3 linked regions of the Oryctolagus cuniculus genome follow. The protein of the gene in region 3 interacts with the protein of the main gene of each other region in a pairwise test. Links are inferred from orthologs where the notes say so. Each region holds a gene or a part of one and is shown on either strand. Other genes may lie near its edges.

Evidence for each region.
Region 1: the proteins of NTAQ1 (region 3) and PNMA1 interact in binary tests that used the Homo sapiens proteins (3 or more experiments, as listed by UniProt). The two-hybrid records come from large-scale screens. The link is inferred for Oryctolagus cuniculus from reciprocal best matches to the Homo sapiens genes NTAQ1 and PNMA1.
Region 2: the proteins of NTAQ1 (region 3) and COIL interact in binary tests that used the Homo sapiens proteins (3 or more experiments, as listed by UniProt). The link is inferred for Oryctolagus cuniculus from reciprocal best matches to the Homo sapiens genes NTAQ1 and COIL.

Annotation. Positions count from the first base shown.
Region 1 is NC_091451.1:19,885,823-19,895,837, reverse strand, and holds PNMA1 (paraneoplastic antigen Ma1), read left to right. Parts: upstream 1-4,253; 5' UTR 4,254-5,304; coding exon 5,305-6,366; 3' UTR 6,367-7,095; downstream 7,096-10,015. Other genes in the region: MIDEAS (mitotic deacetylase-associated SANT domain protein), read left to right, coding at 196-392, 631-814.
Region 2 is NC_091448.1:32,534,045-32,543,959, reverse strand, and holds part of COIL (coilin), read left to right. Parts: intron 1-4,089; coding exon 4,090-5,200; intron 5,201-5,319; coding exon 5,320-5,406; intron 5,407-5,956; coding exon 5,957-6,004; intron 6,005-8,367; coding exon 8,368-8,437; intron 8,438-9,915. UniProt on the Homo sapiens protein: Component of nuclear coiled bodies, also known as Cajal bodies or CBs, which are involved in the modification and assembly of nucleoplasmic snRNPs.
Region 3 is NC_091437.1:149,149,268-149,159,182, reverse strand, and holds part of NTAQ1 (protein N-terminal glutamine amidohydrolase), read right to left. Parts: intron 7,417-9,915; exon of another isoform or gene 7,147-7,416; coding exon of another isoform or gene 7,093-7,146; intron 6,856-7,092; coding exon 6,707-6,855; intron 6,109-6,706; coding exon 5,984-6,108; intron 1-5,983. UniProt on the Homo sapiens protein: Mediates the side-chain deamidation of N-terminal glutamine residues to glutamate, an important step in N-end rule pathway of protein degradation.

The sequences.
Region 1 (10,015 bases), on a different chromosome or scaffold from region 3:
GTCCTGTGCGCGCCGGGACTGTCCCACCAGCAAGTCCTTGAGCGCCAGCGCTGACCAGGGCGCCGGGCTTCCGAGGGGGCAGGGGGGCTCTGTCACAGGGAGATCGCCCTTTGGGGACCCTGTGTCCCCCGGAGGCCACGGGGAGGGATCTGTCCTCCCCGGAGGACTCAGCTCTCCTTGTTTCCTCCTCTCCAGGCCAACGACATCCTCATCCTCCGGAGCCACGAGTCCAACGCCCCCGGCCCTGCCGGCGCTCAGGCCCCAGAGAAGCCGAGGGAGGGCGCCGGGAAGTCACGGAGGGCACTGCCTTTTTCGGAGAAGAAGAAGAAAACAGAGGCGTTTAATAAGACCCAGAATCAGGAGAACACTTTCCCTTGTAAAAAATGTGGCAGGTGAGGACACAGACCCGACGGGGACGGCGCAGGGTGGGAGCGGCAGGGGCGGGGGAGGCGGGGGGGGGGGGCCCGGAGCGTCCGCCTTGCCTTCTGATTGGCTCCTCGCGTTTCTAGGGCGGTGACGTCACCGGGCAGCTTGCGGGAGGTGGGTGGTGGGTGCCCGCGCGTGCGCAGTGGGTCTCCCGGCGGTGGCGCCCGGCTCTGACCGGAGGCCCTCCGTTCCGGGCGGCCGCAGGGTGTTCTACAAGGTGAAGAGCCGCAGCGCGCACATGAAGAGCCACGCGGAGCAGGAGAAGAAGGCGGCGGCGCTGAGGCAGAAGGAGAAGGAGGCCGCGGCCGCCGCCGCCGCTGCCGCCGCCGCCGCCGCCCCGCACCAGCCGGCGCTGCGCGAGGAGAGCGGCGCGGGGGAGAAGGGCTGAGCCGCCGCCGGGCCCTCGAGGGGGAGTGCAGAGAGAGCCCCGTGGACCTGCCTCTGCCAAACCAATAAGACAGTGAAATAAACGGCTCTTTTATTTATAAAGGCCCAGGAGCAGTGTTAAGGGCTGCAGGATCCAGTTCTCTTCGCATCCGGTCTGTCGGGGCCGGCTCCCGCCGCTTCCCTCCGGCGCCTGCCGGAGCCGCCGTGGCCGCCAAGCACAAGTCCACCCGCTGCAGCGTTGTTCCCCCCCCGGAGGCTGCCGGCGGCCGGCCCTGTTCTGTCCCCGCCGGGGCCCAGGCCCGCGGCCTCCCGGAGGCTGCCCCCCACCCCCGGCCGGGGACTGTCCCCTGGCTGCTCGCTGGGCCGGCTCTGTGCCTGTTCCAGGGAAGGGAGCTGCGGGGCAGGGCCTGAGCTGGGGATAACCCCCCCCCCCCCATTTGCCAAACACGGCCCCGGAGGCCGCCTCGGAGCTTAGCCTCGAACTGCTCCTCGGTGCCAGCTCCCTGCTCGCCTCTGCCCTGCCCTCAGCAGCTGCCGCCTGATGCCCCCGCCCCATGCCACCCGCAGCCCTGCACGCTGGCGATCTCTGGATCCTTCTCTGGGAGGGGGAGGTCTCCTAACTAGATTGGACAGGAGCCTTCATTCCTTGACTCGTGTCATTTGGGAGCTATTTATTTATTCTTTAATATTTAATTTCTAACATCCTCTCAGGGACCAGGGGCCTCCTGCTTTCAGAGGCCCACGTGCATTTAGCCAAAAACGAGGCACCTTGGCACCCCCAGCCCACCCTACCCCCCCCCCCCCCCCCAGTTCCCGGACCTTGTTGCTGGGGGAAGCTCTCGCCAATAGGGTTGACGGTAGCACTGAGAGACAGCGGGAAGCTGGGTGTCAGGCACACGGAGACTAGCAGGGGCGGGGGATCCCAGGCAGTTCTTACTGCTGCCTCCAGGGAGTTGGCAGGCGGCCAGGATTCCGGTTGTGTTGATCAGGCCTGGATTCTGGCTTCCATATTCGGCAGGGAATCGCTCAACTGAAAGGGCCAGAGTGTTCTGGAAGCCCCTGTACTTGCCAGTCCCATGGAAGAGCTGTTGTGTTTCAGATCTTGTTACTCAACTTGAGTTGCACAAGAAATTCTAAGTGAATGCGTCTGGAACAGGTCAGCATGTCAGGAAGGAGCCGAGAAGTCTTCATTCTGCTGCTCCCCGGGAGCTGGGCTGAAAGGCATCCGTGGTAACTGGGAGCGGAAAGGGAGTTGTATTTTTAAACTATGCACTCTTAGGTATTTTTCAGCGTTCATTTATGCATTAATGTGGTTCTGCAGGATCCCAGCTATGGGAGAGACCAGTTTCTTTTCCTCCCAGCCTCCCCCATCACCTTCAGAGGAGAAGCTCTAGGTCCCAAGACAGCGAACACGTGGTGTGCCCTGCAGACACAGGAGGGTAGCAACTTCAGGCTCTCTTCTAAATCCTTGTGTAATATGAGTGCCTTCACAGCTTAGCCCCAAAGTGCTGCTTAGGTTGCCCGAGGTTTTTTCTATTTAAACCCTATTTGGTTTCAGGCCCCTTTATGGACATGTGGTAACAGAAGCCTCCTCCAGTCACCTGGGACCCTTCTGCTCAGTGGTAGCATTCAGGACTTGGATATCTTTTTAAATAAGAAAGTGATTCCACCCTAAGCTCACAGAGACCAGACCAGGTGAACGTAGCCGGGGACCTGACTGTGAATCCCGACAGACACCGGATTTGAGGGGCTGATGCTCCAGGATGCATTTGTTCCTCAGATGCGGTGGGGAAGGAAGCTGTTTCGGGGGCAGATGCGACCTGCCAGTAGCGTAGGTGCAGCCATAGAGGCTGGCAGAGGCGATCCTTAACGGTGCTTTCTTCTCCCTGGGAACACCCTAGGCTTGTCTTCTGTTGCTTTCCCTCCTATTCCGAGCTCTTTGCTGTAAGAAGTTAGACGAGAGACACCTCTAGCTTTGTAATCTCCCCACGCCGCCTCCCCATATCCATCTCCCAGTGTCCACCTGCCGTCAGCCACCGGCGTGACACTGCCCTAGTGCCTGTGTTCTGGACCGTCTCTGAGGTCTCTCCCATCCGAGGAGACGGTGACATCGTTCTGTCCTCCATGCCTTCGGCAGCGCCCCTCACCGCTGAGGCACACACTCGCCCCTCTGCCGCCGCACCTCCGCCCAGGCACGGAGGTCTCGTGCTGCTCACGGCCAAAGGAACTGCCCATACTTAACTGCCTCAGTGACCTGATCTCTCATGTGCCAGATGCCTAGATGAAGAAGGAACACAACACATCCCGAAGCCTCGGCTGTTTAGCACCCTCTCCACGGGGGCCCGCTTTTCTGGACAGTATTTATTACTAGACTGGCAAGCCTGACTCCTTTAGGTTTACAGGAAGTGTGCATATTTTTATAAAACAAGTGTCCTCCCCCCCCCATTTTGCTGTGTTACTGTTTGCCTCTAACGATTTGCAGCTGTTTCTGTTTCACCTTTTACTCATTTGTCTCCAAGTTGAAGGCCTTGTAGGAGGGGACAGCCTTGACAGTCTGTAATTATTGTACAAATATTTTAATAGCATATAAAGAAGTATATTCCTTTTATTTTGAAACAGATGATCAGACACTGCCTTTTGTGTGTTTGCTGCCTGTGGCAACCTTTTTTAAAAAAGACTGTTACATATGAAAATGGTGTACATATATATAAATATATAAATATTACCTCTTTGGCTGTACAGTTGTGATAGAGCAGATGGAAGATTTTATTTTTTGTGTGCTTTTTATATAAAAATTAATACACTAAAGAGAATCTTGCTGATGTGATTGTAATGTACCTATGTAACTTATTTACTTTTGAATGTTCTTCTGTATCTTTAAACCTTTCATTAAATAAGGTTTTAAAAATTCAGAGTTGGATGCTGTGTTCTTTTGGGGGATTTTCATCCTCTGAGATTGACCGAAGCGGCCCTTGCTCTGGCTTGAAGAGTACCCGAGGCAGGGATTACAGAATACTGGTGCGTTGCCAGCTGTAGGTAGGTAGGTGGCCGGCCTTTTGACTAAGTGTTAGATAAGAGGAAGTGGCCGGCGCCGCGGCTCACTAGGCTAATCCTCCGCCTAGCGGCGCCGGCACACCGGGTTCTAGTCCCGGTTGGGGCGCCGGATTCTGTCCCGGTTGCCCCTCTTCCAGGCCAGCTCTCTGCTGTGGCCAGGGAGTGCAGTGGAGGATGGCCCAGGTGCTTGGGCCCTGCACCCCATGGGAGACCAGGAAAAGCACCTGGCTCCTGGCTCCTGCCATCGGATCAGCGCGGTGCGCCGGCCGCAGCGCACCGGCCATTGGAGGGTGAACCAACGGCAAAGGAAGACCTTTCTCTCTGTCTCTCTCTCTCACTGTCCACTCTGCCTGTCAAAAAAAAAAAAAAATTAGAAAAAAAAAAAAGATAAGAGGAAGTGTCCAGTCTGTGTGTCACACAAGTGGGATACTTGGGAGCCTTCGTTTCCTCTGGATGAGATGCCGTCCACGCACCTGGCTTGATGCGCCAGTTGCATGAGCAAGTCAGCCACCACGGGTGATACCCACTAGTATCTGAAATCCGCTCCGGATTAGAAGACAGAAGCCCTCGATGCTTATTGGTATTTTTTTTTTCATTGTAAAAGTCTGGAACATCTGATGGCTGCGGTACCATGGCAACCGCTCCCCCCACCCCGCGCCGCTGCGCACGGAGTCTTCGGGAGCGCGTCGTCCGGGACACCGTTGCCATGGTCACGCGCGCGCGCCTCGCCGGCGACCTGGATCCGGTGCGGCGGCCGCGGCTCGCGGGCCGGCCCCGCCCTGCACTGCGGCGGGAACGCGCCGGCTGCCGAGCTGCGCCACAGCCGCCGCAGCCCGTCGCGCCACGCGAGCCCGGCCGGCCCCACCAGCCTTCGCCTCCCGCCTCGCTTCTGCATCCTTCCTGCGTCTTTGCTCCCCTCAGCCCTCGGTTTTCAGCGGTCCTCGCTGTCCGGAGGGGTCCCCGCGCCCGAGAAGAAGCCGCTGCTCGCCGGCTGGCCCGGCTGCCGCCGCGGTGACCTCGGACAGCCTCTCCCGCCGGGCCCGGCACGCCGAGCGCTCCTTCGGGCTGCCGCTCCTCGCCCCGCTGAGGGCCGGGCTCGGACCGCCAGCGCCGGGGCGACTCCGGGAGCGGCGGCCACGCCCCGCGGCCACACCCCGGCGCTCCCGGGCCCCGCGGCTCCCGCAGGCTGCACTCTGGGGCCGCAGACCCCGACCCGGGACGCGAGATGGCGACAGCCGCGTGACTGACTGAGCCCCTGCGAGGCCGCGCCGGGGAGCCGCAGACGGACAGCGGGGCTTGGGTGTCGCTTGTTACCAGCGACCGCGGGGACCTGCCGCCCGCGCGCCTGCTTGCGGGGAGTGTCTGGTGTTGGTTGGAGTTCGGGGAGCCGCAGTCTGATCCGTATCTGTCGAATCGGTACCTTTGATAGTTGGGAACATGGCGATGACGCTGTTGGAAGATTGGTGCAGGGGCATGGACGTGAACTCCCAGAGAGCGCTGCTGGTTTGGGGGATCCTAGTGAACTGTGATGAGGCTGAAATCGAAGAGACCCTCCAGGCTGCGATGCCCCAGGTGCCGTATCGAGTGCTTGGGAGAATGTTCTGGAGGGAAGAGAACGCGAAAGCAGCCTTATTAGAGCTCACTGGCGCTGTGGATTACGCCGCGATCCCCAGGGAGATGCCTGGCAAAGGAGGGGTGTGGAAAGTGCTTTTTAAGCCCCCCACGTCTGACGCTGAATTTTTAGAAAGGCTGCACCTCTTCCTAGCTCGGGAGGGGTGGACCGTGCAAGATGTTGCCCGCGTCCTTGGGTTTCAGAACCCGGCCCCGGCCCCGGGCCCCGAAATGCCAGCCGAGATGCTCAGCTATATTTTGGATAATGTTATTCAGCCTCTCGTGGAGTCCATATGGTACAAGAAGCTGACGCTGTTCTCGGGGAGGGACATCCCGGGGCCTGGGGAGGAGAGCTTTGACTGCTGGCTGGAGCACGCTAATGAAGTCATAGAGGAGTGGCAGGTGTCCGACACAGAAAAGAGGCGGCGGCTGATGGAGAGCCTCCGGGGCCCCGCCGCCGACGTCATCCGCATCCTCAAGACCAGCAACCCCGCGATCACCACCGGCGAGTGCCTGAAGGCGCTGGAGCAGGTGTTCGGGAGCGTGGAGAGCTCTAGGGATGCGCAGGTCAGGTTTCTGAACACGTACCAGAACCCGGGAGAGAAGTTGTCGGCTTACGTCATTCGTCTGGAGCCGCTGCTGCAGAAGGTGGTGGAGAAGGGGGCCATTGATAAAGAGAACGTGAACCAGGCCCGCCTGGAGCAGGTCATCGCCGGGGCCAACCACAGCGGGACCCTCCGAAGGCAGCTCTGGCTGACCGGCGCTGCGGAAGGGCCGGCCCCGAACCTCTTCCAGCTGCTGGTGCAGATCCGTGAGGAGGAGGCCAAGGAGGAGGAGGAGGAGGCTGAGGCCGCGCTCCTGCAGTTGGGCCTGGAGGGGCACTTCTGAGCCCCAGGAAAGAGGGCTGCCGTGCAGACCCGGCCCGCAGCTGCTGTCCTGGTCCCGAGTAGTAAAGGCCTAGCTGCCTGCTGTTTTCGTTGTGTTTTTCTTGGAGGGAGGGGGTTCTGGCCTGCCCGTTCCTGTAACTCCGCCGACACTGCACAGAGCATGGGGAGCTGCTACAATGCCGATGGGCTTGCTGGCTGCGGCGCCCGCTGTCGACATGCCGGCACCCTCGGCTGTGACAAGTGTGAACCCGTGACTCTTCCCATGGAGATAAATGTGAAGTCGCACGTGCAGATGTTTAGCCCAGGGCCTGGCTCGCAGGAACCGTGAACCATCACATTGTTATCAGCGTCGAGGCTAGTGTGTGTTGACTGTAAATCATTCCATGTTTATATTAATGGAAAGAAACGTGCATTGTTTAGGTAATACTGCTCAGCCTCACAGTGCAAATCTCTTAGTGCTCATCTTTAAAGAGCCGGATCTGTGGAACAGAGTGTTCTGAGACTCCAGCTGGGGCGCTGGAAAAGGACTGCAGTTCCGGAGCTGTGCTGATCAGAGGTCGCGCAGAGAAACCACCTGGGGAGATGGCTAGGACCCGGTGACAGTGACCCACCCATCCCCCCACTCCCCTTCCAGTCCTTGTCAAAATAGTTCTTGTTCACCCAGATTTTAAATGTTCTACATTTGAACTTATCAAATAGATGTATAAGAATAAAAATATTTTAAAAACTATCGCTGTCTAGTTTTTCCAACATATTTAACATTTTTCAGTGTAATTAAGCTGTTTTCTTTTTTCTTAGGAAAACTTTCCCCCATGTCATAAAAAAGAACCTTTTACTTAAAAAAAAAATAGTGAGATGGAGCGCTCCCACAATGTGTGTGTATTAATGTATCCAATATTTATGTGTTCTTCAAGGCTAATGTTAGGCTATAAACAGACATATAAGTACAATATTAACTTACTAAAAATTTTTAGAAAATCCTAAAAAAGGCTCAGGAGATAATCTAGAAATAGTTGTTTTTCCCTTCCCTTTTTATATTTTTTAGCTAAAAATTTTTGCTTCACTGAAGAAGTGGAGCCATTTTATATCAACATATAAAAGGGAAACACAGCTTAAGGTCATGTGCACTTGGCTGCAGATGTCAGTGACAAGATGACCATCCATCGAGACCCTCAGTAACCCCAGTGGTTGCAGCCATGTTAAGAGTTCAGTGGAGTCTTCCCCCAATAACGTTTAAAATGACCACTGACTCATCTAACAATCACACAGTACATAATTTGTACTTTAGACTGCTATTAGTACATATTCTTCCAGATTTTTCTGTACTCACTCGTGTCCTCACCTCCCTCACAACCATCTCCACATGCTTGCCTCCCTCCCCACCACCAACAGACAAACCTTTTCACAACCCCAACCCCCAACAGGTACCACTCCTGGGCCCCTGCCCAACTGGCGGCTACACTGACAGCTTCCCCTCCCTCCCACCGGCATCGGGAGTGCATACACTCCCCCACCCCTGTCTGCATGCATTCTCTCACTGCCCCTGCCAATACTCCATCATAAACACTCCCTCCTTTCAAACACAGGGGCACCATGCCAGTCTCCCACCCCAACACACATTCAGGTTCTCACACACATGCACACACACCCTTGAACAGCCAGCACACATGTACACACCACACACCCATGCACACATACATCGCATTCTTAAAAGCTAGTTTTTTTCAATACATGCCAAGTTGATTGCTTCCTGGGAGGGAAGGTCATCACCTAGGAGTTTATTTAATTTCATAACAATTGTACCAGTTTGCATTAGGTATGGGAATACTTCAAAAGTTCATGGGAAATGGAATTAAAAGGTTAATTTTGGTGTAATTTTGCTTTAATCCTTGCATAGGAAGACCCTTCAAGAAATTCATGAAAAATGGGTAGGATGAAAAAATGTGCATGGATTTCAAAAATTTTTTGCACTAAAGTAAATGTGTCTTTTAATTCCATTTTTCCATGAACTGTCTCAAGCACCCTTGTATATGACGTTTAAAAATACTGGGGTGGGCATTTATCATAGCAGTTAAGATGCTACCTGGGGTGTTCGCATCTCATCAGAGTTCCTGGGTTCAAGTCCAAGCTCCATTTTTTAAAAATGTATTTATTTATTTGAAAGTTAGGGCTACACAGAGAGAGAAGGAGAGACAGAGAGAGAGAGAGAGAGAGAGAGGTCTTCCATCTGCTGATTCACTCCCCAGATGGCTCAGAAATGTAAATTTTCTGCTTCTTAAGGAAGGACAGCAGCAAAAAACTTTATCCTCATCATTAAAGAACTTCAGGAAAGAAGCAGAAACAGCACTACCGTTGCATTCTGTGGCCAACACTACACCGTGGCTGACGGTACAGAACGCGCGCTAGCGGAATGTGTAACACTGCTGACGCTGCCGGATGCTCTGTGTCTCCGCTCCCGGTCCTGTCAGCTGATCTCTACCGGGGAGCTTCTGGCTGAAGGCGAGGACAAGGGCAGGGCAGGTGCAGCGGCTCCTGCCACCCCCACGCCTTCCCTCCAGAGCGTGATGTGAAGTGGTGCCCAGACAAGTTCTGAGAGATTTACAGAGCTTGGAGAGGAGATAATGTTTGGTAATAAAGTACTGAAAAAATAGCATAAATAAATGAGTCTCTCTCTGACATACAAGTAGGATTCGCGCATCATTGAAAGTTGACATGGTTGCTCTGTATTAGATAAAATTAATGATTGTGTAATCAAAAAAGACACAACTTCATTTTTTATAAAATAACACAATTTATTACTTTTTCAAACAAATCTCACAAAATAACACTCAGAAACTCAACATTTCTAAATAATTTAACACACAATAAGTTTAGCCATAATGTCATGCTACAAAATTCCTGTGTATAAAAGATTATTACCAAAGTATTAATAGATGCTAAAGTGTCCTTCAGAACGGAGTTGGTTCCAGAAGCCAAACATCCTGGAATGCTGCTTGTGATCACCACCAACACCTGGGAGAAGTAGCTGGGCAGGTGCATATTCCCTCTGGCTTCCAACTCACAGGTGTCTGGATGGGATTGCCCCCTCACCACCCATACAATTTAATTCAGCCAACATCTACATTAGTTCTTTAAATTTAGACTTGGGAATGATAACTCATAAAGTTTTTATTTTCAGTACAACTACCTGACCACATCCCTCGGAGGGATACTCTTGGAGGTGGCAGACATGGAAGATGACCCATGTAGGGAAACAGGTATATCCTGGCTCTGATGACGCCCATGTCAGCAACTGCTCATGTAGGCACAGGACAAGCAAGAGAGGTCTGATTCTAACACGCATGCACAGGGTAGGCATTTAGTCATCTGCCCTTTGGAAGTACTTCCCACCAACATCCAGTTCATAATTTTAAAGTGCAAATCTACTGAAAATAGTTTACTATCCCTGTTCCCTTGTTAACCTGGCTAGATCATAATTTGGAGGCTAGTTCCCCTCTAACCTGCCCAATATGGGAAATCACCTAGAATCCAGTTATGATCTCTATAAGGATTACATGAAAAGTTTTACCAATATATTTTAGGTTAGAAAAGCTAAGACTCGGTCTAGTTTTCCCTTTCAGTACTGTTCTTTGCAGTCACTGAGTTATAAA
Region 2 (9,915 bases), on a different chromosome or scaffold from region 3:
CAGAGTGGACAGTGAGAGAAAGGTCTTCCTTTTGCCGGTGGTTCACCCTCCAATGGCCGCCGCGGCCGGCGCGCTGCAGCCGGCGCACCGCGCTGATCTGAAGGCAGGAGCCAGGTACTTATCCTGGTCTTCCATGGGGTGCAGGGCCCAAGCACTTGAGCCATCCTCCACTGCCCTCCCGGGCCACAGCAGAGAGCTGGCCTGGAAGAGGGGCAACCAGGACAGAATCCGGCGCCCCGACCGGGACTAGAACCTGGTGTGCCGGCGCCGCAAGGCGGGGGATTAGCCTAGTAAGCCGCGGCGCCGGCCAATACAGCCATTCTTTCACCTTCAGCACAGTATTCAGTAGACTGAAGTGAGCTGGCAGTACTTCATTACAAGCTAGGCTTTGGGTGAGGTGATTTTGCCCAACAGTTCCGCTCATGTAAGTGTTCTGAGCACATTTTTAAGGTATGCAAGGCTAAGCTGTGCTGTTTGGTAGGATAGGTTTATTAAATACATTTTCAATGCAATGATATTTTCTACGGAGTCTATCATGGTATAACTCCATTGTAAGTTGAGAAGCATCTGTATACATAGTAGGTGATCTGCATCTTTGTTTTTAAATGCCGTAGAGTGTTTCTTTATATGACCATGCCAGTATTTAGACAGCTCCTTATTAATGGATGTTTTAGGTTGGTTCCTCACTGTGGGGAGTATTCTCATGTATCTTTCTGTGCTTGAGCACTGATTCAGCAGGATACATCCCAAGAGGAGGTACTCCTTCATCAAAGAGAAGACGCGTCTTCAGTTTGATAGGTACCAGCACACCGACCCCCAGAAAAGTTGTACAGGTCTATTTCTGCCAGTAATATGAGTTACTTTTGCTTGTTATCATGTGAGAGGTGGGGGAGCAGAGTGATTGAGAGCTCAGGGCCTCCCATCTAAACCTTGGGTTTGACTTGGCTCTCCAGCTAATTCATTGTGTGCCCCTGTTGAAGAAATTTTACCTCTCTGAAGGTGATAATGCAGGCAGTGGCCAGACCAGAGGAAGGCTGCAGGAAACAGGTGAGACTCACAGTGGGTAAAGGGTCCCCCTTGACCTTCGCGGTTGATGGGACAGGTTTATTAGAAACCTACTAGCGTCTCCTTCAGAGGACAGCAACATCTGATGGTTGTTAAATACAAATTAGACCTGGTGTTCCAATAGCACTTGCTCTGAGCTAGGTGTGCTCTAAATATACAGTAGCTCAACTGAGAACTGTGATTACCATTATCTTCCTTTGTATACCTAGGAAAGGCTGAGGTAATGGTTTTAAAATAATTGAATTACACTGAGAAGAGGGATTTGAACCCATGTAATCACTGTGGCCTTGAAAGGCAGTGAGTGGAAGTGTTAGGCAGGGTAGGTGGGTATGTCTGTGTTTTTTAAAAAGATTTATTTATTTATTTGAAAGGCAGAGCAACAGAGAGAAAGAGAGGAAGGGAGTTAGAGGGACATAAAGGAGAGGCAGAGGAAGGGAGAGATTTGGGAGGGAGGGAATTGGACAGAAAGAGAGAGAGAGATCTTCCATCCACTGGTTTATTCCCCCAAATGGCTACAATGGCTGGGGCTGGTGCAGGCCAAAGCCAGGAGCCTGGAACTCCTTCTGAGTCTCCCATGTGAGTGGCAGAGGCTCCAAGCACTTAGGCAATCCTGCGCTGCTTTCCCAGGCACTTTAGCAGGAACTGGATGGGAAGTGGAGCAGTCAGGACTCAACTTCAGTTTGGGTTGCCAGCATCACAAGCTGCAGCTTAACCTGCTGCTTCACATCAGCCCCGCATGTCCGTTTCTGTTTATCGAAATCCTTAAAGTAGCATTGCAGATTTACAGGGAATACTTGCATCTGGCTAATACCACATAATTTGCCCAGATGGAGGATCTGTTTTAAAAGTTTTTTGGTTATCATATCTCTTATCGCTAATAAAATAAGCAATTCACTTCTGTTTGTGAAAGGACAGCTCTGTTTGTTGTTGGGGATCCAGATAGAGGAATGAAAAACGTTGCAGGGCTGGCGTTGTGCCATTGTGGGTAAAGCCGCTGCCTGCAGTGCTGGCATTCCATATGGGGGCCAATTCTAGTCCTGGCTGCTCCACTTCTGATCCAGCTCTATGCTATGCCCTGGGAAAGCAGTAGAAGATGGCCCAAGTCCTTGGGCCCCTGCACCCACGTGGGAGACCCGGAAGAAGCTCCCAGCTGCTGGCTTTGGGTCAGCACAGCTGCAGCCATTGCGGCCATTTGGGGAGTGAACCAGCAGATGGAAGACCTCTCTCTCTCTCTCTCTGCCTCTCCTCCCTCTGTAACTCTTTCAAATAAATGAATAAATCTTTAAAAAAAAAAAAAAAAGAATTGAACCTTGAATTACAACGTTGCTACAAGTAAAAACAAATTAAATTTTTTAAAAAAGGAGAAAACTGATAGTCTGACCTTTTCTAAAACTACTACTACTGCTTCTTTTTTTAAAGATTTATTTATTTATTTAAACATCAGAGAGAGATCATCATTCACTTGTTTGCTTCCTAGATGGCTGCAATGGCCAAACATCTGGGCATCCCTAGCCCAGTCAAGTTGACACATAAAATTAACCACAACAAGTCATCGAATATTATGGGTCACTGTAACTATCCCTCAGAACATGAATTGTTTAGTATCTTACTAAACTTTTTTTAACGATTTATTTTATTTATTTGAAAAAGTTACAGAGAGAGGTCGAGACAGAAAGGTCTTCATCTGCTGGTTTACTCCCCAGAGGGCCACAATGGCTAGGGCTGCACTTATCTGAAGCCAGGAACTTCTTCTAGGTCTCCCATGCGGGTGCAGGGGCCCAAGGACTTGGGTCATCTTCCACTGCTATCCCAGGCCATAGCAGAGAGCTGGATCCGAAGAGAAGCAGCCAGGACTAGAACTGGTGCCCATATGGGATGCCGGTGCTTTAGGCCAGGACTTTAACCCACTGCGCCACAGCGCTGGCCCTTCCTAAATTTTTAAAAAATATTTATTTATTTGAAAGAGTTACAGACAGGTAGAGAGTGAGGTCTTCCATCTGCTGGTTCACTCCCTAGATGGCCACAACTGCTGGAGCTGGGCCGATCAGAGGCCAGGAGCCAGTAGTTTCTTGTGAATCTCCCACGAGGGTTCGGGGCCCAAGGACTTGGGCCATCTCTACTGCCTTCCCAGGCCACAGCAGAGAGCTGCTTTGCTGGATGGGAAATGGAGCAGCTGGGACTCAAACCTGAGTTCATATAGGATGCTGGCACTGCAGGCAGTGGCAGCTTTTACCCACTCACTATGCCACAATGCTGGCCCCCTGCCTAAAGTTTTTTATTTTTAAAGATTTATTTATTTATTTTAAAGTCAGAGTTACAGAGAGAGAGAGAGAGAGAGGTCTTCCATCTGCTGGTTCACTCCCCAGTTGGCTGCAACGGCCGGGGCTGCATCGATCTGAAGCCAGGAGCCAGGAGCTTCTTCCAGGTCTCTCACGTGGGTGCAGAGAGCTGGATTGGTAGTGGAGCAGTTGGGACTCGAACTAGTGCCCATATGGGATGCCAGCACTGGAGGTGACAGCTTTATCCACTATGCCACAACACTGGCCCCTCAACATAAAAAGGCAACTCAACATTCCAAAAACAAAAATGGATAATCATCTTTTAGGGTTGGTAACATACATGTAGTGGAAAGTTGAGTGTTGAAATTAGATTGAGAATTAAATTGCTTTTCTGCTACTTGTCAGCTGTGGATTCTGGGCAGGTTGCTTGTCTGAGATGTAATCGTGTGACAGACTCTGTGACGTGACAGACTCTCCTCTGTAGTGGTGTTTAGATGAGAGGTGATCCATAGAAGATGTTTGGGATGCAGTCAGTAGTCAAACAAGACCAACCATTTGAAAGTTGACCATAAGTGATGCTGTCTAGGCCATTTTGTCAAAAGGCGTCCTTTGTGTGTTAAGTGATGCAACATTTTTTCATGGACTGGTGGTACTAAGTTTGTAGCATCATCTTGGTGTATAACTAAGTCCTTGGGATGTATTTATGCAGTGCTCACTCTAGCTTTCTCTTTTGTTCTTTTGACAGAGTTAAATTAGAAGAGAGAGGAGTTGCTGAGAATTCTGTAGTAGTCAGGAATGGTGATAGTACTCATTTTTTACCTAGAAAAGCAAAGAAGCGGGCATTTAAGTTGGAGGAGAACGAAGAAAGTGACATAGATTGCAAGTATTCAAAGAAGCATTGGAAAAGGCAAGAAAACAGTAGTAATAATGAGAAGGCCTTGGTTCCGCACACAAAAGCAGTCACAGAGCAGGCTGTGGGGAAAAAAAACAAGAGAAAGAACAAAGCAGCATGTGGCACGATGGATGACAATGATGAAGAAACCCAAAGGAAATCACCAAAGAAAAAAGAGAAATGTGAATATAAAAAGCAGACCAAGAATTCCAAGTCTCCCAAAGTGCCCGTGGTAAAAGAGTGGACCGCCCAGAACTGTAGTACTCCAAAAAGTCCTGCTAAGAACAGCCTGGCGAAAGCCAGAAGGAAAGCTGGTGTAGGCACTGTTTCAAAAGACAGCCCCAGTTCCTCCTCGGAGTCGGAGTCTTGTCACGAATCCACCAGTGATGGGCTCAGCAATGTCACTTCGGAGGCCAGAAATTCCTCAGAGAAAATTCCCACTGAGTTAGCAAAGGAAGGATCCTCTACAAAAAATACGACTGCAAACAAACTGCCTGCAAAAGGTGGCTTTAGCCTTACTCCGAGCCAGGGCAAGACCACCAGAACATCCTCGTCTAGTTCAGACTCGAGTTCAGAGTCGGATGACCAGTGCCTGCTGTCTAAGAGCACTCCCGAGAGTGCCTCGGGGCTCTTCAAGACGGCTGGCCTCTTCCCAGGGAGAGGCTGCCCAGGTCCAGGGCTGTCCTCACAGGTGCCACCTGCTGCCAGCTGGAAGTATTCTGACTTAAGCGGTGGCAGACAGGCTCCCGGTCCTCCCTCTGTTGCGACTCTCCCCTCCAGTCTAGGAAGAGGATGGGGTCGAGGAGAGGACCTTCTTTCTTGGAAGGGAGCCAGAGGTCGGGGCGCGCGGGGGAGAGGGCGAGGGCGAGGGCAGGCTGTGTCTGGTGTTGTAAACAGAAATGCTGACTATCAGAAGCAGAAGCAATTAAATGAAATGATAACAAACGCATCTACTTTTATCCAGGTAGGTATGATTGGTTGTAGCTTACCTCCCCCACTTTCCCATGGAGTGTATCTGGAGTTCATGTCATGAGTTTACGTTTTTTTACAAATACCAGTCACTTGACTAATGCTGTTTTTCAGAATCCAGTAGAGACACACAAGAAGGATTATAGTCTGTTACCACTCTTAGCAGCTGCCCCTCAGGTTGGAGAAAAGATTGCATTTAAGGTATGCTTTATTTTATTTATTTATTTAAAGATTTTATGTATTTAAGAGACACAGAGAGCTCCCATCTACTCGTTCACTCCCCAAATGCCCCCATTGTCTGGGCCAGGCCAAAGCTGGGAGCCTGGAACTCAACCCAATGTGGGTGGCGGGAAACTCAGTCCCTAAGCTGTCACTGTGCCTCTCAGGGTCTGCATTGGCAGGAAGTTGGAATCAGGAACCAGAGTCAGGCATCAAATCCAGGCATTCCAGTAAGGGGATGCGACTGTCTTAAATGGTGTCTTAGCTGTTAGATGAAAAGCCCCCCCCCCAAGGTATATTTTAAAACAGCAGTGATTGTAACCAAAATGGTTAACTCCATTTCCAAACAAACTTCACTCGTCTAGTCACATTAAATAATATTTATAAGAGCCCTTCTCACTGGTTGATGATAGAGTTCCCCTGGCTTGTGTGGGCACCTTTACATTTCACGATTTTCTCGGGTAGGAGGGAGGAGCTGTGGGAATGTGAAAGTGTACAAGAGCTTGGTATTTGTGACTTTTTTCTTCTGTAGCTTTTGGAACTAACATCCAATTACTCTCCTGATGTCTCTGACTACAAGGTAAAGTTGTTTATTTAAAAATAATTAAGTTTTCAGTATATTAATAAAATGAAAATTGTAGATAATGCTACTTAAATGAATAGTATAGAATTTTTTGAGTGAACAGTGTCATAAAGTAATGTAGAAAATGTAAACATCAACCTATAAACTTCTGAACAGCTGAATTCTGTCCATGCTGTTTTCCTGGCACTTGAGAAGAATATAGAATAAAAATTGATGAGCTTGATTTTTTTTCCTAATCAATTTCAACACATACTTATTTGAAAATCCACTCCCTCATGAGCCTAAATTTTGAAAGACCATATTATGAAAATAATAAATAGCTCTCACCTGGAAAAGATTATTTTTATTATAAGCATCTATTTCATGTATTTGTAAATGTCTTCTGATTATTATGGTCTAATATGATATCTTTGCATCATCACTTAACCATGTAGTTCACAGTCATCCTTGGAATTTACTCTCTTTATATCTGTATGAGACTCTGTCATACAAGTTTTTCATTGTTCAGTAAAAGCTTGTCACAGTGAGATTATGTTTCCTTCCCTTTTTTTCAACCAACAAAATTTTGATATAATCTTACTAAAATAAATACATACTCCTAATATGTACAATTTTTATGTCAGTTAAAAAGTCTTTTTTGGTATATGTCAGTTAAAAAGTTAAAATGTATACTTTCTTTTTTGGTATAATATGTAGAATTATAAGCATTAAAAATTTTATTTATTTATTTAGATTTATTTTTATTTATTTGAAAGGTAGAATTACATAGAGAAAGAGAGAGATAGAGAGAAATCTTCTATATACTGGTTCACTCCCCAAATGGTCACACCAACAGGAGCCAGGAGCTTCATCCAGGTCTTCCACATAGATGCAGGGGCCCAAGCACTTGGGTCATCTGCTACTGCTTTCCCAGGTGCATTAACAGGGAGCTGGATCAGAAGTGGAGCAGCCGGGTCTTGAACCAGTACCCACATGGGATGCTAGTGTTGCAGGTGGCAGCTTAATGCGTTATGCCACAATGCCAGCCTGTCAGTCTATATTTTTAATGTAATAATTAGTAATGCTGGAAGGAAAGTTGTTCTGGACTATCTTGGACAGCCCAGGGTGTTGTGTTACCCCACCATAGATAACTGATTTTCTGTGATATTTGACGAAATGGCAATGAATATTGAATTGATAAATTTAATAACCTCTGCCAATTATAGTTCTAGATCATATGATTTATTGTGTATTAAATTGGTACTAGTCACCATAGTTATTTCCTTGGCAGGCTGTCTGCTTACTTTAGTTCCCAATATTTTTTGGAGAGTTTTGAAATCACATTCAAAACCATTTTAAGAATTACAGTTGGTCCCACTCTTTTGCTTTGACCTCAGATGCTGAAATCGAGCTTGATCATCTGCTTTATTCGTTAAGCTCATCTCCAGAAGTCAGATCTATCCTCAAAGATATAGTCTCCCAGACTCCTGGCCACCATTTGGTTGGTTTTAAACACCACTGTTGGCTGTGCCCAGAAAAGCTGGGTAGAAGCAGGAGGAACTGACTGGTGGGCCTCACTGGGTGCCTCCAAAGGCTGCCGGTCTGTCTCACCACCACCCACATGCACAGGGCAGTGCACCCTCTTGATGCATTTGAAAACCAGCTCCCAAAGCTGGGGACCTGGAGGAAGGGACCTCTAATGCTGTCAGTGACAAAGGGACTTTCTGCTTGCAGCTTACTACCACTTGTAAAAGAGGCCCAGTTGGGACATGTGTGGCCTTCCCTGATGTTGTCACGAGCAAACCTCATCTGAGTTAATCATGCTGGCCCATGCTTTTCCTCTTTCTTCTATTCAGTCACTTTGATGACCTAGTCTAATCTTTACTTTTGTGTTCTTTAGGTCAGTGTCTGCCATTTGTGATTTAAATGTATCTATTTTGCTTCTGAGGGTAATTTTGTGTGTTCAAAGTGTTTATCAGAGAGAGGGGTTAAGAGAGGGAGAGAGATCTTCGATCTGCTGGCTCACTCCCCAAACGGCTGGGCCAGGCTGAAGCCAGAAGCCAAGAGCTCCATCCTGGTCTCCCACATGGCAGCCAGGGCCCTAACACTTGGGCCATCTTCCTCTGCTTTCCCAGGCACATTAGCAGGGAGCTGGATTCGAAATGAAGCAGACAGGACTGGAACTGGTGCTCCGATGTGGGATGTCGGCTTCATGAGCAGCAGCTTAATTTCCCCTGCACATTGATTTATTTAAATTTTTTATTGAGTTAAAATTCATGTAACAAAGAATTTACCAGTTTACAGTCTGTAATTCAGTGGTTTTAAGTATACATACCATGTTATATGTGTTGATATTTGACTCGGACTTTTATTTTTGAAAGGAAGGAAAAATACTAAGCCACAATCCAGAGACCCAGCAAGTAGATATAGAAATTCTTTCATCCTTACCTGGTGAGTCTTTTAGAAATGAATTTAAACATTTAGCCTGTACATACCTGTGGTGGTTTCTAAATAGCCAATAAAGAAACATCTATGGCTGCCACTTAGCCGGCCTCGCTGACTGGCGATATCTGTGCCCCTCTGTGCTATACTCCTCTTAGCCAGATCACTGGCAGTCTAAGAGGAGTTGGGCAAATTCTAACTGCTTTAATATGTACTTTCATCAAAAGTTATATGAACTGATGAAAACAGAAAAGAATTATTTCCAGGAATTAGGAACACCACTTTAAAAATGCTGTTAAATTATGTGTGGGTGGATCAGCTATAAAAGATTGGGAGACATTCTGTAAAAATTTAGGAAGATTCTGTACTTAAATTGCCTTGCAAAGTTTTGCATTCTTATGTTAATTAACAAAACAATGGAAATTGCAGACAATACATTATGGGCATTGTTTACCTAATGAACTCAAAAGAACTACTTAGTGTTATTTCAGAAGTTTGACAGGTGAACATACTTTTATGTATTAAGTCAAAGTAAATTTTTTAAAAAATGTTTCCCTGTTTTATCACTGATTAACCCATTAATGGTTCTGAAAGCCTGGAACAGAGAGCTGAGCTGTGCCAGAGGGTCCCTGGCTAGAGAGCAGGGGAGATTGTTTTCTTGGTTATTTTTTGCAGACCCTACTGCAGTTAATTGTTTTTTTTTTTTGTTTCTTTTTAAATAAGATAGGGAGTAGGAGATTCAAAATTCCAGTAGATAGAAATGTCACAAGTGTTTTTAGGTCAATTCCTATGTGATATTAAATAAATGATTAGATATAACTGTTTTAAGTTTTATTTATTTGAAAAGCAGAGTGACAGAGTGAAAGAGAAAGGGGGAGACAGAGAGAAAAAGAGATCTTCCACCTGCTGCTCTACTCCCCACATGGCCCCAAGGGCTGGGGATGGGCCAGGCCAAAGCTAGGAGCTTGGAATTCCATCTGGGTCTCTCACGTGGGTGGCAGGAGCCCAGATCCTGGGGCCATCCTCTGCTGCTTCCTCTGCATTATCAAGGAGCTGGGTCAGAAGTGCAGCAGCAGGGACTTGAACTAGGGCTCTGATGAGGTGTGCCAGTGTTGTAAGCAGTGGTTTAACCCTCTGTACCTCGGGTGTAACTTACAAGGAGAGCTTTCCAGCTTTCCTCTGGTGAAGTTTCATTGGTAGAAGCCCCTTTTCTCAGTGGACAGAGAAACTTGTCCATCTCAGTTTCCACAGACCCAGCCTGGTCATTTCTTGTCAGGTTGTTGCAGGTGATGACATCCAGTCAGAACTTTTCTTCTCCAGGGCATCAAGAAATTGGCCTGTAGAAGTACAAGGAGCCCTCTATTTGCATGATACTATTATATATGATTTTCAGTTACCATGCTTTAACCAGATAACACCAGTCCCCCAGTGCCATTGGGAATGTTAAGTGTGAGTAAGTCCCTAGAGTACTGCTGCTCTTCAGTCCT
Region 3 (9,915 bases):
AGAGAAAAAAACAAAACCTAAAGAAGTTAATAGTACTGTGTCATAATAATATATCACTGTTTTTGTGCCATTGTATCATTTTCCTGGTTCAAGTAACTGTATTGCTATTATGTAAGACTTAACACTAAGGGAACCTAAGTGAAAACTACACAGAAACTCTGTCCTGTTTCAGCAAATTACCTAGAAACCAAAATTATTTCAAAATAAAAGTGAAAAAGTACATGAATAATCAAACAGCCAATTTAGTGGTTTCAATGGCCAATGTACAGGAAATTCAAAGAACATGCCGAGATATAATCAGCAAAGCCAGACTGTTTCTCTCAGACCCAGTTTCTTCAAATTACAAGTAAAAAAGTTAATGAGACTTTTAAAAGACATGTCAGGGGGCTGGTGCTGTGGTGTAGCAGGTAAAGCCGCTGCCTGCAGTGCTGGTATCCCATATAGGCACTAGTTCAAGTCCTGGATGCTTCACTTCCAACCCAGCTCTCTGCTATGGCCTGGGAAAGCAGTGGAGGATAACCCAAGCACCTGGGCCCCTGCACCGGTGTGGGAGACCTAGAAGAAGCTCCTGGCTCTGGATTGGCGCAGTTCCATTTGTTATGGCCATCTAGGGACCAAACCAGTGGATGGAAGACCTCTCTCTCTCTGCCTCTGTAACTTTGCCTTTCAAATAAATAAATTGTAAAAAAAAAAAAAAAAAAAAAAAAAAAGACGTATCAGAGCAGGCATCATGGCATAACAGTTTAAGCTACTACCTGGGATGCCAGCATCCTGTACTGGAGTGCCAGTGTGAGTCCTGGCCTCCACACTTCCAATCCAATTTGCTGCTAATGTGCCTAGAAAGACAGCAGATGGTGACCCAATTGCTTGGATTCCTACCACCCGTGTGGGAGACCCAGATGACATTCCTGGCTCCTAGCTTTGGCCTGGCCCAGCCTCAGATATTGCAGGCACTCAAGGAGTGAACTAGCAGATGAAAGATCACTCTCGATCTACATATCTCTCCCTGCTACCTCTCTCAGAGTGAACCAGCAAATGGAAGATCACTCTGATCTTATTTCTCTCTCTCTCCCTCCCTCCCTTCATCACCCTGTCTTTCAAATAAATCTTGCAAAAAAGAGACATATCAAGCAAGAATAATATGGGAGCCTCAATTGGACCCTGATTTGAATAAACAAAGTAGAAAAAAAAAGGTTAAGGGACTGGCGCCACGGCCTAGCAGGTAAAGCCACGATCTATGGAGCCAGCATCTTTTATGGATGCTGGTTCATGTTCTGGCTGCTCCGCTTCTGATCCAGCTCCCTGCTAATGGCCTGAGAAAAGCAGTAGGGGATGGTCCAAGTGCTTGAGCACCTGCACCCATGTGGGAGATCCAAAGAGGCTCCTGGCTTCGGAATGGCCTAGCTCTGGCCATTGCAACTTATTTGGAGGAATGAACCAGTGGGTAGAATACCTCTTTATCTCTCTCTCTCCATAACTCTGCTTTTCAAGTAAATAAATAATGTTTAAAAAAACTAGAACTTCATGAGATAACTAAGTTTGAACACTGTCTAGATATATATGCATGATGACTTTAAAGAACTGTTATTATAGGACCAGAACTGTGGCGTAGCGGGTAAAACTGCCGCCTGCAGTGCCAACATCCCATATGGGTGCTGGTTCGAGTCCCAGCTGCTCCACTTCCTATCCAGCTCTCTGCTATAGCCTGGGAAAGCAGTAGAAGATGGCCCAAGTCCTTGGGTCCCTGCACCCTCGTGGAAGACCCAGAAGAAATTCTTGGCTCCTGGCTTCAGATCAGCATAGCTCTGGCCGTTGTGGTCAACTGGGGATTGAACCAGCAGATGCAAGACCTCTCTCTCTCTCTGCCTCTCCTCTCTCTGTGTAACTCTTTCAAGTAAAATAAATAAATCTTTTAAAAAAATGTTATTACAATAGATGTAACAATGGTATTCCAGCCACGTATTTTTAAAAAAGGAATCCTTACATTTTAGGGATATATACTAAAAGGACATATTTTGGATTTGCTTCAAAGTAATACAGGAGGGAGAAAGTAGATGGGCACAAATGGATCAATGAGCTCTGAACTGCTAAGTGCTGACAGTCTGATGCATTCTTTTATTCTCATATATAATTTAAACCTTCCATGTCCAAAATAAAAACTTTTAGACATATGTACAGATTTCTGCTTCTGCCTATCCAAGAACTGTTACAGCAACTGCACGTCTACCATATACTTAGAGAAAACCAGGCAACCTATATGGAACAACTGTTCCCAGACAGTGGACAATGGGCAGCACAGGCCTGCCATCTCTAAGGAACAGACACAAAAGAGGGCAGCCCTGGGACTCCCTCGCTGGCACTGCCTGAGGGGTTGAGGACCACAGCAGCGACAGGGCACAAAGGGCCAAGCAGTTTCCCAAGGCGAGAAGACAGAAATGGAAGTTCTGGAAGGCCCAGGATTTGAGGGGTGGTGTATCACAGAGGAGACAGCTACACAGAAAAGAGTTCCAGCGATCTGCTGAGGGATTCCCCCTACCCAGCCGCAGCCAAGTCTTCATCCAAGCACTGATCTCTTACATGGGGTGAAACTTCATGAAGCCAGGGGAAGCAGCACCAGAAATCAGTAGGCCTGATAACTCCCAAAGCTGCCAAAGGACTAATTCACATCCTCATGGTAAATCTGTTTCCCTGCCAGGAAAAACCCAAGTGGCTTTCTTCAAAACACATTAAATGTTGAATCAAAACAGTGATCCTCCTGCAGACACATGGCCACTGAATTCACTAAATGTACAGTATTATAAATGATATACAACAAACACAGGAAACCTACCAAATGCTAAGCTGCTACTGTTAACACATGTATCCAACATGCATTAAAGTTTGTTTTCTTGAGGCCAGCACTGGCACTTGAGGCCAGCACATTAAAGCCACTGCCCACAACACCAATATCCCATATGGACACCAGTTCAAGACCTGGCTGCTCCACTTCCGATGCAGCTCCCTGCTAATGTGCCTGGGAAGGCAGCAGAGGATGGCCCAAGTTCCTGGGCTCCTGCACCCACATGAAGGGGTGCAGAACAGCCCAGCCCAGCCCATTGCAGCCATCTGGGGAGTGAAACAGCAGATGGAGGATCTCTCTCTCTTCCTTTCTCTCTGTAATCCTGCATTTAAATAAATAATCTTTTTTTTTTTAAGTTTACTTTCTTGAATCATTTTTTTTTCTAAATCTTAATTTTTTTTTATAAAGCACTACTGATTAGCTAAAAGCAATTCACACTTATCCTAATCCCTAATGTATTCCTTTGATAAATATATGGTTTCAGGCAATTAATTTACCACATGAGAGAATGTTACAATCTAGTTAAATTATCCAGATGTTTACTCCACACTTCAGAGTGGAATCCTTCTGGTTCAATCTCAAGTTCAGGAGACTCCTGACAAAAAACTACGTCATGAGGCATGTATGAAATTCTCCCTCTTTGCGGCGCCGGCACACTGGGTTCTAGTCCTGGTCGGGGCGCCAGATTCTGTCCCAGTTGCCCCTCTTCCAGGCCAGCTCTCTGCTATGGCCAGGGAGTACAGTGGAGGATGGCCCAAGTACTTGGGCCCTGCACCCCATGGGAGACCAGGATAAGTACCTGGCTCCTGCCATCGGATCAGTGTGGTACGCCGGCCGCAGCGCGCCGGCGGCAGCGGCCATTGGAGGGTGAACCAGCGGCAAAGGAAGACCTTTCTCTGTCTCTCTCTCTCACTGTCCATTCTGCCTGTCAAAAAAAAAAAAAAAAAAAAAAAAAGAAAAGAAAAAAAAAAGAAATTCTCCCTCCAGCACTGTGTACTTCAGGCAAGGCACTTATTTAACCTTCATTCTCTTCATTTTATTCATTTATCATGGAAGAAAATAAAACTTGGGTTGTGGTAAAGATGAAATTAAACTAGTATGTAAAGGAGTTGGCAAAAGTCTGGCACAAAATAGCATCGAATGAGGAGCAGTTAACAAAACCTAAGGAATGGGGGCCGGTGCTATTGGTGTAGCGGGTAAAGCCGCCACCTATAGTGCTGCCAGCATCCCATATGGGTGCCAATTCGAGTCCTGCCTGCTCCTCTTCCAGTCCAGCTCTCTGCTATGGACTGGAAAAGCAGTAGAAAATGGCCCAAGTCCTTGGGCCCCTGCACCTGCGTGGGAGACCCAGAAGAAGCTCCTGGTTCCTGGCCTTGGCCTGGCCCAGTCCCGGCTGTTGCAGCCATTTGGAGAGTGAACACAGTGGATGAAAGATCTCTATCTATCTATCTCTATCTCCCCTTCTCTCTCTGTATTTCCGCCTTTCAAATAAATAAGTAAAACTTTAGAGGCCGGCGCTGTGGCACAGCAGGTTAACGCCCTGGCCTGAAGCACCAGCATCCCATATGAGTGCCAGTCTGAGACCCAGCTGTTCCACTTCCAATCCAGCTCTCAGCTATGGCCTGAGAAAACAGAAGATGGCCCAAGTCCTTGGGCCCCTGCAACCACGTGGAAGACCCAGAAGAAGCTCCTGGTTCCTGGCTTCAGATCGCGCAGCTCCAGCCATTGTGGCCAATTAGGGAGTGAACCATCGGATAGAAGAGCTCGCTCGCTCTCTCTCTCTCTCTGTGTGTCTCTGTCTCTGCCTCTCCTTGCTCTGTGTAACTCTTTCAAATAAATAAATAATAATAATAATAATAATAAATAAAAATAATAAATAAGTAATAAAAAATAAGTAAAACTTTAAAAAATCAATAACTAAGAAATGGCCCAAATAGAATCAGTGCTGGCAAGATAGTGTTTGTTTATTCTGTGCCTACTGTGTGCAAGGCTCTGTCTGGGGTAGCTACATCCAAAAGATACAGGGTAGGTAGGTACTGAAGGTAGGTGCTGAGGCCTAGAGCTGGCCCTGCACAGTGGGTGGACCTACGAGGCCCTCTCCTGACCCAGAAGCTTTCCCAATTCCAAAGCAACCAAAGTGAGCTGGTGAACTGGGAAGCAATTTCAATATACAATTTTTTAATTATGAGAGGTTTTTACAGTGAGCCTCAAGACATCAGGGCTTGAACCCTCGGTCAGCGTTCTTGCCCTTCAAACACCACAATTTTATTTTCTTCCTCACTGAACTATTAATATAGCTATGTGCCACATAACAATGCTTGAGCCAATGACAGATCACACATACAAAGGGGTCTTATGCCATTCTATCACCCAGTGACATCACAGCCACCTTAGCTGGTACAAAAACACTGTGATGTTTGCACAAGACAAAATCACCTAGCAACACATTACTCAGAATGTGTCCGCACCACTCACTGAGTGACACCTCACTGATTTCTCTGGTGCACTGAATAGCTCATAAAACACTTTCACAGACTGTATGGTCCACGTGTTGGGATGATCTCACCAACAGAGGGAAATGCTGTGAGTTACTTACAATCATAAAAGGTTACAAACTCAGACAAATGCCAAACAGCATTAATAGTGTGAAGAACCTTTTATCTCCTTAAATCTCAGAAAATGATCATTTGGATTGCTGCCTAAAAGCACACAAATGCAATGAGTGGTACAATAAAACTTGCTAGCTCTCACCTCCCTCTAATTCAGATTTCATTACCCAATCAGTGAAATGACATTTCATATGCTATAAGGGAATTTTTTTCACCATCACATGAAACCCTACCCGAGCAAGGTGCTACTAGCCCCAGTGCTAAACCTCCCAATGCCCAGGACCATGTAACAGCCCAGCAGTGTGCCAGTGGCGTGGTTCTGTGTGCCTCTCCCATGAGTTCCTATGCTTTCCAGTCCTGTTCTGTGTGGCTCCATTAATGAATTCAACACACAGAACAAGTGCTCTCTCTCACCTTCTCACCACTCAGGGAGTTTTAGCCAAAGAATGATCTCATTTTTGTCCTTGTTAAGAGAAAATGCTGAGCTGTGCAGTGCTCGATCAGAAACCTTTCCGGGAAGGCCTGCCTGGCTCACCTCCAGTCTCAATGCAGGGATAAGGCGGGGGCGGCTCCCTCCAGTTCCCACTGGAGTCTTTCATGTGCGATCGGTCGGAAGCAAAGTTCTTCAGATATGAATCTGCACGGATCACTCTAAATTTCCTGCACGTAAATCAGCACACACTGACATGAGCAAGGCATCACACTGGAAATTGTACCTCCATTTTCAGATGCACTCGGTTCCTATGATGAGTGCAAACCACTCACATGTGTTTGTACTGCTGGCAAAACACAAATACATGTGCAGCTTTACTGTACATAGGGAAGCCAGCTGAAATCCACAGCTACAAAGGCACAGAATGGATGCCTGTTTTTAGGCAGAAAAGGCTGCCTCCTCTGACTCAGCTGTGTACTGGGGTAAACTGCATGATTTTCTGGTGCTGCCAGCATGAGGCGTTCATTCCGCCTGAGCAAACAAGAGCAGGAGAGAACTCCCCAGCATGCCTGAAAGAAAATGTCTGAGATCATCACACAACTTTAAAGACTCCCAACCTTTTATGCGATGGGTAACCTTTAAAACTTTTAAAACATCTGGAATCTCTAGTGTAGCATGCACGTCATTCAAAATATCAAAATATCAACTCAGTGATGATGCCAAGACAAGTGATCTTTATAAAAAAAAATAAAATAATAACCTTAGCATGATCCCAGTGTCTTACTTCAGAAAGTATGTACGTAAATCCAAGCCGAATCTCCTCACCTCCTGAACTGTGGGTGAATGTCATCATCAGACTTAAAGGCATCTTCTACGTAAGTGTCAAAGGGACAGGGAAAGGGCAGGACAGTATCAAGGTCATAGATGAAGCTCTGTCCTCCACTTGACACATGGAGCAAAACAACGTGGTAATCCTAGGAAGAAAAGCACATCTGGGTGGTGAATGCCAAGGCCCCTTAATGCACATTAAAAAAAAAAAAAGGTTACAAGTACAACACTAATACAACCCTCCTTAAAACAGCAAAATACAATAAAGCAAACACAAAACCCTAAAAACAGACTAAAAGTCCAGTGTCTGGGAAGGTGGTCAAATAAACGATGGAAATGGTTACAGACATTAACTGTATACCCTTTTGACCCGGCAACTTCACCTCTAGGAAACTATTCCACCGAAAAATGGCCATGAGCGCGTGAAGTGTAAACATGAAGAAACTCTCCGCGGCACTGTTTATAATTTTGAAAAGTCCAGGAGCCTATCAAGCAGCGAACGCTGAGTAAACTGTGTCACAGCCGTATAATCAAATACCACGCAGATGATAAAAGACATCAGTACATTTATGTGGAAAATGCAAAAATGTCAGGGCCAGCGTTGTGGCATAGTGGATTACACTGCCGGCTGCAACGCCAACATTCCATATGGACGGTGGTTCAAGTCTTGGCTGCTCTACTTCCCATCCAGCTCTCTGCTAGTGTACCTGGAAAAGCAGAAGATGGTTCAAGTACTTGAGTCCCTGCGCCCACACAGAAGACCTAGAAGAAGCTCCTGGCTAGCCCTGGCTATTGGGCCCATTTGGGGAGTGAACCATTGGGGCCATTTGGGGATAGAAGACTTTCTCTCACTCCCTCTATCCCTTCCTCCCTCCCTCCCTGCAACTACACCTTTCAAGGAAATAATTAAATCTTTTTTTTTTTAATGCAAAAATGTCCATGTCATTGGGACCAGTGTTGTGGCACAGTGAGTAAAGCAACCACCTGTGGCGCCAGTATCCCATATGGATGCCAGTTCAAGTCCTAGCTGCTTTGCTTCCCATCCAACTCCCTGCATATGGCCTGGGAAAGCAGTGAAGGATGGCCCAAGTCCTTGGGCCCCTGCACCCATGTGGGAGACCTGGAAGAAGCTCCTGGCTCCTGGCCTTGGCCTGGCCAGCCCCAGACATTGTGGTCATTTGGGGAGTCAACCAGTGGATGGAAGACTTCTCTGTCTCTCCCTCTCCCTCTCTCTCTCTAACTCTGCTTTTCAAATAAATAAAAAATAAATCTTAAAAAAAAATTCCATGTATATAGCTGGACAGACGAAGCAAAGTGCAGAATATCAACACATTTTTTTTTTTTAAGATTTATGTGTTTGTTTGAAAGATACAGTTACAGAGAGGCAGAGGTAGAGAAGGAGAGAAGCCTTCCATCCGCTGGCTCACTCCTCAAATGGTCACAATGGCTGGAGCTGGGCCAATTCAAAGCCAGGAGCCAGGAGCTTACTCCAGGTCTCCTACAAGGGTGCAGGTGCCTAAGGACTTAAGCCATCTTCTACTGCTTTCCAAGGCCATAGCAGAGAGCTGGATCAGAAGTAGAGTAGCATGGGACTCGAACTAGTGCCCATATGGGACACTGGCACTGCAGGTAGCAGCTTTACCTGCTACTCCACAGCACTGGCCCCCTGCTTTATTTTTTGTAAGCCATGTGCATATAAGGACACACATTTGATTCAGAAGTACATATGCATGCATGAGTACAGAGGAAGTGTGTAAGGATCTCCTCTGAACAATTAACAAAGGGGACTTCTTGTCTATTTATTATTTGAGAAACAAAGACAGAGAGAACTCTCATCTATTTGTTTACTTTCCAAATGCCCATAACAACCACCGAGGCTGGGCCAAGCCAAAGCTGGAAGCTGGGAACTCAACTCAGGTCTCCCACAAGGGTGGCAGGAACCCAACTGCTTAAGCCACCCACAGTCTGCATTAGCAGGAAGTCAGAGTCAGAACCAGAGCCAGGTATCAAACCCAAGGACTCCCATGTGGGATGCAGGCATCTTACCTGACAGCTTAACCACTACCCCAAAAACCTCAAAGGGGACGACTTGAGAAGCTAGCCTGGAGAGGAAATCAGGATGTAACTTTTCAGTTCTGTGCTATTTTCCTAATTAAAAGGGGAAAAATTGAACAACAGCCGAGCTGCAATCTGTAGGCATTAGGGTAAGGTTAAGGACAGCCTCTCCTGCTCAGCCCCACAGCATGGACACACTCTCTCTCTCTCACCAGCGCAGCCGAGGGCTGAAGGGGACCTCCAGTTATCAAGGGACATGAGGGCAGTCTGCTGCTTTGGTTCCTGAGGGGTAAAATGCTCTCACAGGCAGCAGTATGATAAAACACACGCTCTACCGACCGTCTTCCGCTTCCACAGCACATAGCTCAGAGTTTACAAAGCCCGTTACTGCATCTCGGCCCATTCGACCCCTGGGAAGTGGAAAAGGCAACGAGACTGGAACTGCTGAGTCATAAGAGCGAGGGCTTTGCTTGTCTCCAACTCTGTCTTGGGAAGGCAGAAACAGACACTCTCTGTGCTCCTGCTCAGTGACTCACAGCTGCTCCCCTAACAGTCCTCCATTCCCTTCCATGGGCCTTGCTCATGGTACTCCATCCCCTGCAGCAACCTGCCCGGCCTCCCTCTGCCACACAGGCTCCAGCTCAAAAGCTTTCTCCCCCAGGAATCCACTTGGGAACTTCTACCCCTGCCAGAAGTCATCTCTGCCTTAGCTCACTTCAGACTCTCATTATAACTTATTTTTAAGTACTTGCTCCTTATTAATAATAGGAAACTGTGCTGCTGAAACATAGACACAAAGATAAAAATTACAAGTTCTTACCTGCAAGGCGTTCCTGGAGAAGTGAGTGGGAATCCCAAGTGTATAGTACAGAGTGAATAAGAGACAGAACAGGGAACCTTGTAGGCAAGGGCAGGCAAGTACCTGGTTCAAATCTCAACCCCTCCACTTCCCAGGCTCACAAGTGGAGATAGAAGGAGAGTCTGCGTCACAATGTAACTGGAGAATAACTCTGTAAACAGCTGGCCTTTTTAAAAGCCAACCAAAGGGCCGGCACAGCGGCTCACCAGGCTAATCCTCCGCCTTGCGGCGCCGGCACACTGGGTTCTGGTCCCAGTCGGGGCACCGGATTCTGTCCTGGTTGCCCCTCTTC